Saccharomyces cerevisiae S288C: one gene and its partners. The main gene of each other region encodes a partner of the protein of the gene in region 3 in a complex. Each region holds a gene or a part of one and is shown on either strand. Other genes may lie near its edges. A codon is read from its position in the direction of its gene.

The links. Proteins that work in one complex are often made in the same cells at the same time.
Region 1: the proteins of ORM2 (region 3) and LCB1 are in contact, whole or in part, in a cryo-EM structure (PDB 8QOG), measured with the Saccharomyces cerevisiae proteins. Residues at the interface, in NP_013454.1 of Saccharomyces cerevisiae: Pro37 (codon at 1,105), Val38 (codon at 1,102), Thr39 (codon at 1,099), His41 (codon at 1,093), Arg42 (codon at 1,090), Arg43 (codon at 1,087), Arg45 (codon at 1,081), Gln55 (codon at 1,051), Glu56 (codon at 1,048), Glu59 (codon at 1,039), Asp60 (codon at 1,036), Glu61 (codon at 1,033), Asn62 (codon at 1,030), Gln64 (codon at 1,024), Gly133 (codon at 817), Gly134 (codon at 814), Ala135 (codon at 811), Asp137 (codon at 805), Glu148 (codon at 772), Thr149 (codon at 769), Leu150 (codon at 766), Tyr151 (codon at 763), Pro153 (codon at 757), Arg155 (codon at 751), Lys156 (codon at 748), Leu159 (codon at 739), Ile163 (codon at 727), Phe166 (codon at 718), Leu167 (codon at 715), Asn170 (codon at 706); in NP_014025.1 of Saccharomyces cerevisiae: Arg56 (codon at 1,994), Val59 (codon at 2,003), Glu60 (codon at 2,006), Leu63 (codon at 2,015), Ile64 (codon at 2,018), Tyr66 (codon at 2,024), Gly67 (codon at 2,027), Tyr70 (codon at 2,036), Tyr71 (codon at 2,039), Ser73 (codon at 2,045), Lys74 (codon at 2,048), Gln76 (codon at 2,054), Gln77 (codon at 2,057), Lys79 (codon at 2,063), Ser80 (codon at 2,066), Leu81 (codon at 2,069), Gln82 (codon at 2,072), Lys227 (codon at 2,507), Arg228 (codon at 2,510), Gly229 (codon at 2,513), Arg250 (codon at 2,576), Ser251 (codon at 2,579), Thr252 (codon at 2,582), Val253 (codon at 2,585), Tyr254 (codon at 2,588), Tyr255 (codon at 2,591), Leu280 (codon at 2,666), Pro281 (codon at 2,669).
Region 2: ORM2 (region 3) and SAC1 share a complex: the UniProt entries of both Saccharomyces cerevisiae proteins name them as parts of the SPOTS complex.

What each region holds. Positions count from the first base shown.
Region 1 is NC_001145.3:858,678-862,719, reverse strand, and holds LCB1 (serine C-palmitoyltransferase LCB1), read left to right. Parts: upstream 1-1,828; coding exon 1,829-3,505; downstream 3,506-4,042. Other genes in the region: carboxypeptidase C PRC1, read right to left, coding at 1-798; GSR1 (Gsr1p), read left to right, coding at 3,830-4,042. UniProt on the Saccharomyces cerevisiae protein: Component of serine palmitoyltransferase (SPT), which catalyzes the committed step in the synthesis of sphingolipids, the condensation of serine with palmitoyl CoA to form the long chain base 3-ketosphinganine.
Region 2 is NC_001143.9:32,530-36,951, forward strand, and holds SAC1 (phosphatidylinositol-3-phosphatase SAC1), read left to right. Parts: upstream 1-2,013; coding exon 2,014-3,885; downstream 3,886-4,422. Other genes in the region: DOA1 (Doa1p), read right to left, coding at 1-1,578; TRP3 (bifunctional anthranilate synthase/indole-3-glycerol-phosphate synthase), read right to left, coding at 4,170-4,422. UniProt on the Saccharomyces cerevisiae protein: Phosphoinositide phosphatase which catalyzes the hydrolysis of phosphatidylinositol 3-phosphate (PtdIns(3)P) and phosphatidylinositol 4-phosphate (PtdIns(4)P). Has low activity towards phosphatidylinositol-3,5-bisphosphate (PtdIns(3,5)P2).
Region 3 is NC_001144.5:826,920-829,942, reverse strand, and holds ORM2 (sphingolipid homeostasis protein ORM2), read right to left. Parts: upstream 1,214-3,023; coding exon 563-1,213; downstream 1-562. Other genes in the region: NIT3 (putative hydrolase), read left to right, coding at 1-454; DIC1 (Dic1p), read left to right, coding at 2,070-2,966. UniProt on the Saccharomyces cerevisiae protein: Component of the SPOTS complex that acts as a negative regulator of sphingolipid synthesis. Acts by inhibiting serine palmitoyltransferases (LCB1 and LCB2) activity.

The DNA of each region.
Region 1 (4,042 bases), on a different chromosome or scaffold from region 3:
AAAAACAGGGATGTAATGGCCGGCGTAGGATTCCCCAGCGATGTGGAAATCTTGGCCCTTGTTGACGTATTCAGGGAACTGATCGAAGAACAACTCCAAGAAGTTATAGACATCCTTACCAGCGGCGACAGTGTTGGAAACACCTGAGGACCCGGAATACGAGAACCCAACGTTGACAGGCTGGTCAAGGAAGATCACGGTGGCATTGCTGTTCCAAGAGTAAGGGTTCCCGATGGGTTTCAAATCAGGTCCAATGGATGAGGGTCCTAATTCAAAGAACAGCCCGGTTAGTGAAGAACAACCTGGACCCCCGTTCAACCAAAGGATGACCGGATCCTTTGCAGGATCGTTTCTACTTTCAAAAGTCCAAAAGAAGAAATGCTTGTCCTCGTCTTCCACATCCAAGTAACCCGTGTACTGTGTGACATTTGGGTCAATGCCCAGGATTTTAGGGTCCTTAATCTTGTTGACACGAAGCTGATAGTTTTCAATTGCGTCATTCTTGACCACAAAGTCCCAGTCTTTCTTCGTTTTGATTGCTTCAGGGAATTTTGGCTTAGTGGAAGTTTCAAGGCTCATAACCTGGTTTGGGTACAAATGCTCTATTTGGGCCCAAGCGTCCAATACATTGGAGTCCAACTCCTTCAAGAGATGATCCAGGTCGAGGTCCAAACCAAATTTTTCCGCAGCTTGCAGCAAAACGTCCTTATCTAGACCCAACGGTCTTTGCAATGAGATGGCCTTAGCGAGTGTAGTGGACAGGCCTAGTCCACATAGTAAACTGGTGAATGCTTTCATAGCGTATGTATACTTTAAGTTGAGTAGAAAAGAAACAATCTCTAGTGAGTATTCTTTCTCTCTCTCTCTCTTGTCTTGTTAAGACTAGGAGGGAAGACGAAAAGAATTATTTCGGAGCTTTTTTGCTGGCATTCTTATCTCGTGCTTTTATTAGTGGGCCCCTTCTTTGAGACCCCGCGGGTGATATGGCCCCTGTCTCAATGATGGATAAAGTTGTTGGAAGCAATTACCAAGACAATCACAAACGAAGGTTGCTACCGAAGTGTACTGGATGACCAACATCGCTATGATTAAATAAGACTATACATAATAGACAAGGGTGGCGCGGCTCCATTCCCAGGGAGACACAAACACGAGGTAAGTCTCAAAAAACCGAAGTTTCGCTCTAAAACTGCACGTAAAGGTCGTGGTATTGACTACAACCATTGACTGTTACATTGTGTAGAAGAAAGGTCCTCACATACTGCTCTGTCAATATGGCTTCTTGTGCAGAAGGTCAATATGTACTATTTCCATGAACCCACAAAATAAGGGAAAAAAAACACTGGAAATAACCGCCACACATACCGTATAAAAGTACATCTCTTTATACGAGTTACTTACTAGACCCTAACCAATGCCTTCAAAAAACAGGACAGACCCTAAAAACTACCATAAGAGACCTAACATATGTATCATCATATACGGAAATCGATTTCGCGTATTTTTTTTTTTTTGAGGCGCCATGATTTCTTACACGGTTTCTTTTTTTTTTCCTTCTTTCCTTCTTGCTTCTCTGCTAACAAATTTTTCACTCATTCTTTTTTATAGGGGCATATTGCTGCGGTTAACTGTAGTGAACGAAAGTAAGATTGAGAAAATATAGTACTTAAGAAAAAGAAAAGGAAAAATAAAAAAAATTCTTTTCAACATCATCGAGTAGCACAGTATAAGAGCGCTCTAACCTTCTGCCTGGCCTCCAATATACACATTTTGCTCGTGTAGGGTTATTTATCCTTTTTTCTTCCTTCCCACCCAAAAAAAAAAAGCAATGGCACACATCCCAGAGGTTTTACCCAAATCAATACCGATTCCGGCATTTATTGTTACCACCTCATCGTACCTATGGTACTACTTCAATCTGGTGTTGACTCAAATCCCGGGAGGCCAATTCATCGTTTCGTACATCAAGAAATCGCATCATGACGATCCATACAGGACCACGGTTGAGATAGGGCTTATTTTATACGGGATCATCTATTACTTGTCCAAGCCACAACAGAAAAAGAGTCTTCAAGCACAGAAGCCCAACCTATCGCCCCAGGAGATTGACGCGCTAATTGAGGACTGGGAGCCCGAGCCTCTAGTCGACCCTTCTGCCACCGATGAGCAATCGTGGAGGGTGGCCAAAACACCCGTCACCATGGAAATGCCCATTCAGAACCATATTACTATCACCAGAAACAACCTGCAGGAGAAGTATACCAATGTTTTCAATTTGGCCTCGAACAACTTTTTGCAATTGTCCGCTACGGAGCCCGTGAAAGAAGTGGTCAAGACCACTATCAAGAATTACGGTGTGGGCGCCTGTGGTCCCGCCGGGTTCTACGGTAACCAGGACGTTCATTACACGTTGGAATATGATTTAGCACAGTTCTTTGGCACCCAAGGTTCCGTTCTGTACGGGCAAGACTTTTGTGCCGCACCCTCTGTTCTGCCTGCTTTCACAAAGCGTGGTGATGTTATCGTGGCAGACGACCAGGTGTCATTACCAGTGCAAAATGCTCTGCAACTAAGCAGATCCACAGTCTACTACTTCAACCACAACGATATGAATTCGCTAGAATGTTTATTAAACGAGTTGACCGAACAGGAGAAACTTGAGAAACTGCCCGCCATTCCAAGAAAATTTATCGTCACTGAGGGTATTTTCCACAACTCGGGCGATTTAGCTCCGTTGCCTGAGTTGACTAAGCTGAAGAACAAGTACAAGTTCAGACTATTTGTTGACGAAACCTTCTCCATTGGTGTTCTTGGCGCTACGGGCCGTGGGTTGTCAGAGCACTTCAACATGGATCGCGCAACTGCCATTGACATTACCGTTGGGTCCATGGCCACCGCGTTGGGGTCCACCGGTGGTTTTGTCCTGGGTGACAGTGTTATGTGTTTGCACCAGCGTATTGGTTCCAATGCATATTGTTTTTCTGCCTGTTTGCCGGCTTACACCGTCACATCCGTCTCCAAAGTCTTGAAATTGATGGACTCCAACAACGACGCCGTCCAGACGCTGCAAAAACTATCCAAATCTTTGCATGATTCCTTTGCATCTGACGACTCCTTGCGTTCATACGTAATCGTCACGTCCTCTCCAGTGTCTGCTGTCCTACATCTGCAACTGACTCCCGCATATAGGTCTCGCAAGTTCGGATACACCTGCGAACAGCTATTCGAAACCATGTCAGCTTTGCAAAAGAAGTCCCAGACAAACAAATTCATTGAGCCATACGAAGAGGAGGAAAAATTTCTGCAGTCCATAGTAGATCATGCTCTTATTAACTACAACGTTCTCATCACAAGAAACACTATTGTTTTAAAACAGGAGACGCTACCAATTGTCCCTAGCTTGAAAATCTGCTGTAACGCCGCCATGTCCCCAGAGGAACTCAAAAATGCTTGCGAAAGTGTCAAGCAGTCCATCCTTGCCTGTTGCCAAGAATCTAATAAATAAAAATAGAAAGCCAGTATATGCACACGCACATATATATATAAATATTTATACAATAATACAAATAATCGTAACATCATCTCTGTCAAATTGACGTGGTGCACGGCGCCCAGAGAATGCGCTAAAAATTTTCGGATCCGAAATTTTCTTTCCTTTTACCATCGAGGCAAAGCAACCTGTATTATTTATTTGTTTATTTATTAATAGAAAAGAAAGGAGTACTTTCGTGGTACGCTTTCTTGAGCATTTTCGGTTTCACTAGGCAGAGAACTAACACAAGAGACACAGCAAACATCAAACAAGGTTAAAACAGCACACCAAGGCAATATGATGCATTTTAGAAAGAAATCCAGTATCAGTAACACGAGTGATCATGACGGAGCGAACCGTGCCTCAGATGTCAAGATTTCTGAAGATGACAAGGCAAGATTGAAGATGCGTACTGCTTCCGTTGCTGATCCTATTCTAGACGCTGTGCAGGAAGCCCAACCTTTTGAACAAGCTGCTGATACCTTCCACGACAACATGAACAGACAATCT
Region 2 (4,422 bases), on a different chromosome or scaffold from region 3:
TATAGTGTTAGCAAATGAAAGTAGCAACTCCCAGCTTTCATCTATGTCATGTAGTGCGCCACCAATTTGCGCCAGAATTTCATCATCAAAGGTCTTCTCATTTGAATTTATTTTTACTATTCCATTGAAAATAGTATCTGGGTTATAATTTTCCATGATAAGATACTGCTTGACAGGAAGAACCTTCATTACGCTCGTTTTTGAAGGTGATACTGCAGAAGATGATGCATTATCGTTGGGCTGGTCTAGCGATATGCCATTAGTGTTCTTCAGTATGAACTGTACTACTTGATCCCTATAACTCATTGGCAGTTCATAACGAGCCAAAAAATTGTCGGCTGCTGTATATGGGTTGTCGCTGACATTAATCGGCAATTTCAAGGGAGGTTTTCCATCTTCAATATCCACATCAAATACGTAGTCATACGTTTTACCCTCGAATTCTATTTTTTTGTCGTTTCCAGTAGCACCTGCACCGACAACATCACCAACCTTTTTCCATGAAGAATTTGAAAATTGATGAGCTTCTATAGTACCTTGAGGTGATTTGACTACCACAATTTGACCCTCTTTGCGCCCCGGCGATTGTAAAATTTCATAAGGTGATAGTTTAGACTCATCAAATTCTATTGTCTTGGAACTTATAGTGGATTTTTCCACTTGCGTAGATAGTTCATTTATTTCATCCTCGGAAGCCCATCTTGACTTCTCTTGCGAAAATATTCTCACAAGATTATCACTACTTCCCACAATAATATCACCATTAGACATACAATCAACGGACCAAATAGAGATGGCAGGAAGTGTAATTACCTGCTTTAACGAACCATTTTCCTTTGACCATATACGGACTGTTCGGTCTTCGCCGCAGCTTACAATATCTCCATTGGGCAGCAGTTTAATGCAATAAACAAAGCTTTCATGGCCTTCATATGTTCTTAGTACGTCACCTGTATGCATATCAACCAACTTGATGAGGCCATCGTTTGAACAACTGATAAAATGGCCATCATCCACCACAGCTAAATGTCTTACTACATCATTGTGAATCCCACTGAAAGTTTTGATCACTTTATCGTTTTGCCACAGTTTAATCGTCTTATCGGCGGAAGCTGTCAAGAATTTATTTTCTGAGAAGGATACGACTTTGGCATCCCATACAGAGGCATTGTGTGCTTGCAAATTGTAAACCAACGATCCTTCTTTCCAAACCTTTGCGGTTTTGTCCCAACTACCGCTTATCACAACACCATCTTGGAAGGATAAACTACAAACGTTCCCTTGGTGGCCAATCAAGGTATACAAGGGATCCTCTCCTGAGGTGGCAAACAAGGGCACACCGTTGATCATAGTATCCTTACCTCCAAAAAGCAACAACTCCTTCTCGGAATCATAACACACACTATTTAAAAATCCTTGTCCTGTATAAACTACCGTACCGAGCCATTGGTCATCTTTAGACCACAAGCGAACTGTTCCATCCCTCGAAACACTAGCAACCTTTGAATCATCCACAGCTACCACATCCCTGACGTCCTGATCGTGCCCTTTAAGTGTTGCACTCAATTGATATCCCATACTCCAAATCTGCTGCTCTACACCTTACTATCACACATGAATATATATATATAAAATAAGCCAAGACAGTGGCCTTCCCTTATTATCAGCGTACTAAAATCTCATATGATTTATTTTTCGTGGTCCTGAACGAGTGTGAAAAATTTTGAAAAACTCGCAAAGGAAATGCCAAGGTCAGCAACTTTCTCGACGTCCAAGCCTCGCTCCTATTGTTTTAGTAACCTGTAGACCTTCAATATTCAAGAGCTTGCACACGCACGCATTGCTGCACTACTGCTTACCCACACTACAAATTTAATTCCAGCTTATTGAAGTTGAAAAGGCAAGGGAAAAATACCACAGGTTTAGATAAGGAAATAGGAGAAAGGATTAGAAACCATATCCCTATAACAGTAACGATAATATTTATATACACGTATATTTTCTCGTCTAGATATGACAGGTCCAATAGTGTACGTTCAAAATGCGGACGGTATCTTCTTCAAGCTTGCTGAGGGCAAAGGAACTAACGATGCTGTTATTCACTTGGCCAATCAAGATCAAGGTGTTCGGGTCCTTGGAGCAGAGGAATTTCCTGTGCAAGGTGAAGTAGTAAAGATTGCGTCCTTGATGGGGTTCATTAAGCTAAAGTTGAACAGGTATGCCATTATCGCAAATACTGTGGAAGAGACCGGTAGATTCAATGGCCACGTTTTCTATAGAGTGTTGCAACATTCTATCGTATCTACCAAGTTTAACTCGAGAATCGATTCTGAAGAAGCCGAATATATCAAGCTACTGGAGTTGCATTTGAAAAATTCCACCTTTTATTTTTCATACACATATGATTTAACAAATTCCTTACAAAGAAATGAAAAGGTTGGTCCTGCAGCCTCCTGGAAAACCGCTGATGAACGATTCTTTTGGAACCATTACTTAACTGAAGATTTGAGAAACTTTGCTCATCAAGATCCTAGAATTGACTCCTTTATACAACCTGTTATCTATGGGTATGCCAAGACAGTGGACGCCGTTTTGAATGCCACCCCTATCGTTCTTGGTTTGATTACCAGACGTAGTATATTTAGGGCGGGCACAAGATACTTCCGTCGTGGTGTTGACAAAGACGGTAACGTTGGCAATTTCAATGAAACTGAGCAAATTTTACTCGCTGAGAATCCAGAGAGTGAAAAAATACACGTTTTCTCCTTCTTACAGACAAGAGGATCTGTGCCAATATACTGGGCTGAAATCAACAACTTGAAGTACAAGCCAAATCTTGTTCTTGGAGAAAACTCATTAGATGCGACAAAAAAGCATTTTGACCAGCAAAAGGAGTTATATGGCGACAACTACTTGGTTAACCTAGTCAACCAAAAGGGCCACGAACTACCCGTGAAAGAGGGCTATGAATCAGTCGTGCACGCGCTAAACGATCCGAAGATTCACTACGTGTATTTTGACTTCCACCATGAATGTCGTAAGATGCAATGGCATAGAGTGAAATTGTTAATTGATCACCTGGAGAAATTAGGTTTATCTAACGAAGATTTCTTCCACAAGGTCATAGACTCTAATGGTAACACCGTTGAAATTGTTAATGAGCAACATTCCGTTGTAAGAACAAACTGTATGGATTGTTTGGACAGAACAAATGTCGTTCAATCTGTTTTAGCCCAGTGGGTTTTGCAAAAGGAGTTTGAAAGTGCCGATGTCGTTGCTACTGGAAGCACTTGGGAAGACAACGCTCCATTGTTAACTTCTTACCAAAACTTATGGGCTGATAATGCAGATGCAGTTAGTGTGGCATATTCGGGCACTGGAGCTTTGAAGACCGATTTCACAAGAACCGGTAAGCGTACACGTCTAGGTGCATTCAACGATTTTTTGAATTCAGCATCACGTTATTACCAGAACAATTGGACTGATGGTCCAAGACAGGATTCATACGATTTATTCCTTGGTGGATTTAGACCACATACCGCTTCTATCAAGTCGCCATTCCCCGACAGAAGACCAGTGTATATTCAGCTGATCCCAATGATCATTTGCGCAGCCTTGACCGTTTTAGGTGCTACGATATTTTTTCCTAAAGATAGATTTACCAGCAGTAAGAATTTGCTGTATTTTGCAGGTGCGTCGATTGTCTTGGCGCTTTCAACCAAATTCATGTTTAAGAACGGTATTCAGTTTGTCAACTGGCCTAAGTTAGTAGACGTTGGGTTCTTGGTCGTTCATCAAACGCATGATAAAGAACAACAATTCAAAGGTTTGAAATATGCACAGAGTCCTAAATTTTCCAAGCCGGATCCTTTAAAAAGAGATTAATGAGTTCTATATGTGATAAAATGATGATTATTGTAAATCCAAAACGTAAAACCGAAAATATGATAAAAACGAGAAAAAAAGTAAGTTAAAAAATAAAAAAATAAAAAAATGAACGCCGGCCCCAGAGGGAAGAACAAGCTATTTATTTTCTTTTTTACTTTATCTTTCATGGTCATATATATATATATATATATATATATATATCTTCTATAGGCTACTATACATGAAGGCGTTCGCCCTTACAACGTTAAGTTTTTTTCCCTATTGTACCGTGTAAGTTTCAATTATTCGCATAATTCATGAATGAACTTCTTCACATCGGTTGATTTCATTAGGGCTTCACCCACTAAAAATCCATGGACACCTTCTTTTTTGTATTTTTCAGCATCGTCCCTGGTGGTAATTCCCGATAGAGCAATTAGAAGAACATCCTTTGGAATAGATTCTACCAAGTTACTGGTGGTATTTAGGTCTACGTTGAATGAATGCAGGTCCCTATTATTGACACCTACAACTTTAGCACCAATTTCTAGAGCC
Region 3 (3,023 bases):
GTTCCATGAAAGTGAAACCTTGAGCCCTGGAGAGAAGTCTACTACCATTGACACGAAATATGGTAAGTTTGGCGTAGGTATATGCTATGACATGAGGTTTCCGGAACTCGCAATGCTAAGTGCACGCAAGGGTGCGTTTGCCATGATCTACCCTAGTGCATTCAACACTGTCACAGGGCCCTTGCATTGGCATTTACTGGCAAGAAGCAGGGCAGTTGACAACCAAGTGTACGTGATGTTATGTTCTCCCGCAAGGAATCTACAGAGTTCTTACCATGCATATGGCCACTCTATAGTGGTGGACCCTAGAGGCAAGATTGTAGCTGAAGCTGGCGAGGGAGAAGAGATTATTTATGCTGAATTAGATCCCGAAGTCATTGAGTCATTTAGACAAGCGGTACCCTTAACCAAACAAAGAAGATTTGACGTGTACTCCGATGTAAATGCGCATTAGAGAGAATATAAAGAAAGATGATGATGTAAGGTATACGTACATATACATATACACATACATACATATATATATATATATATATACATATATGCGTATAGGCAGAGCCAACTAACTAATTTGAGCACGGCCCGTAATACCAGGGATGGATATTCTTAGTCTATGCGTAATTCCCAGCTTAGGAACGACACCAATAAGCACCGTCACGGCGAGGTTGGAGAGGAATAGTGTCATGTCGTTGCGGTAGTACTGGTTGCTAATCAGGAACAACACAATGGGTACAATCAGCAGAAATTTTCTAGTGGGTGTGTACAAAGTCTCATCGTTAATCTGCTCCCACATGGTCAGGTTGTCGTACGCACCACCGTTAAAGTCGAAGGGCGTACCTTTGACAAGGTGGAACATGATATAGAATCCGATGATGTAGGTCATGTTTGTTAAAGTCCACGTCCATTTGGGCGTCGACCCGAACAAGGAGTAGAAGAGCCTCAAGAGTACTATTACGACGATATGAATCAACCACGCGCCTCGCTGGTCGACCCACGTAGCGTTCATGTTGGGAAGCATCTGCTGGTCATTTTCGTCTTCGAAGGTTTCCTGTTCCACATGTGATATTACGCTGGATGACCGTCTTCTCCTATGGTCGGTCACTGGAGTGGATATTTTGTTGCTTTGAGAAGGGAATGGTTTCAGGTTAGACACATTGGGGGTAAGCGGAGACTCTTCAAAAGCTGGAGATTCGTTTTTAGTGCGGTCAATCATGATGAAACTGTTTCTTATGCGTTTTTATAATGGTATAGTCTTGCGTTAATTCTCTAATTCTACGTGCGGAAGAGAGAAGCTGACCTAATGATACGAAGATATATTTGAGTATACGTATGTATATATATGTTTACGTCTGTGTATGTGTGTCCTTACAAGGAGTGCCTCTCGGTTTTGTTTCATGCCATCGCAATCCTTTACTCGGAATCCATTCTCGGTTTCGCCCGCTCTTTCGCTCACCCTCTGTCTCTGCCAAAGCCACGATTACGGGACAGGCTATCTTTCTCAAAAGGGCGCCAGAAAAAAACGGCGTGGAGACAAAGAAGGCATTAACCTCGTTGAGTGAAAAGAGTTGTGCTTTTCACAGCATGAGTATTCCCCCCCACTATATATGAGCAATCAAAATACGCCATACTCATCCATGCGATGCTCAACCAACTGGTTTATATCGTGAGTTCTTGGCAGAACCATCCTCAATGCCGGGGACCCTAAATTTAATCTTCGTTCTTTGCGGATACGGTCACGCATCCGCAGAACAGCGCATCCGCTGTCGTTGTTGGAGTTATGGCCGCGATAGTAGGAACGGTCGCAGAAGGTATCGCGTCGCAATCTCAGTTGAGTGCCAAGGAAAGGGCCCTCTCCACTGTACGTCGTAGACATGTTTGTATAAAAGGGCTGCAAGGTGTGGTCTTTGGCAAGCGATTACGCTGCAATGTTGGGGGCAGGAAACGGTCGGGCGGTCGGCTTGTAGTGTATATATATATATGGATATACATAATCGTATGCATATTTATGTGTAGAGGTTCGTTTCTCTTGCTCTGAAAGTGTCGAAAAGATAACGCAACAGCTGGACGGCATGTCAACCAACGCAAAAGAGTCTGCCGGTAAGAATATCAAGTATCCATGGTGGTACGGAGGTGCAGCGGGTATCTTTGCTACCATGGTGACACATCCTCTTGACTTGGCCAAAGTCAGACTGCAGGCGGCTCCTATGCCCAAGCCCACACTCTTCAGGATGTTGGAGAGTATCTTGGCGAATGAAGGTGTGGTGGGGTTATATTCCGGCCTGAGCGCTGCTGTGTTGAGGCAATGTACATACACGACGGTGAGATTCGGTGCATACGACTTGTTGAAAGAGAATGTGATCCCACGCGAGCAATTGACTAACATGGCGTATCTTTTACCTTGCTCCATGTTCAGTGGTGCCATTGGGGGGCTTGCAGGGAATTTTGCAGATGTTGTAAATATCAGAATGCAAAACGACTCTGCTTTGGAGGCAGCGAAGAGGAGAAACTACAAAAACGCTATCGATGGTGTGTACAAGATATATCGCTACGAGGGTGGACTGAAAACCTTGTTTACCGGTTGGAAGCCTAACATGGTTAGGGGCATACTGATGACGGCAAGTCAGGTCGTTACGTATGACGTGTTTAAGAACTACTTGGTCACAAAATTAGATTTCGACGCATCCAAGAACTATACACACTTGACAGCGTCCCTGTTGGCTGGCCTGGTGGCCACCACTGTGTGCTCTCCAGCAGACGTCATGAAGACACGTATCATGAACGGCAGCGGAGACCATCAACCGGCTTTGAAGATCCTTGCCGACGCTGTCCGCAAAGAGGGCCCATCTTTCATGTTCCGGGGGTGGTTGCCAAGTTTCACTAGACTGGGTCCATTCACAATGTTAATTTTCTTTGCAATTGAGCAATTGAAAAAACATAGGGTTGGCATGCCAAAGGAAGACAAGTAGGCAGATTTATATACATATAAACATAAAGATACATAGCAAATAAAGAAAGCAAGAAGA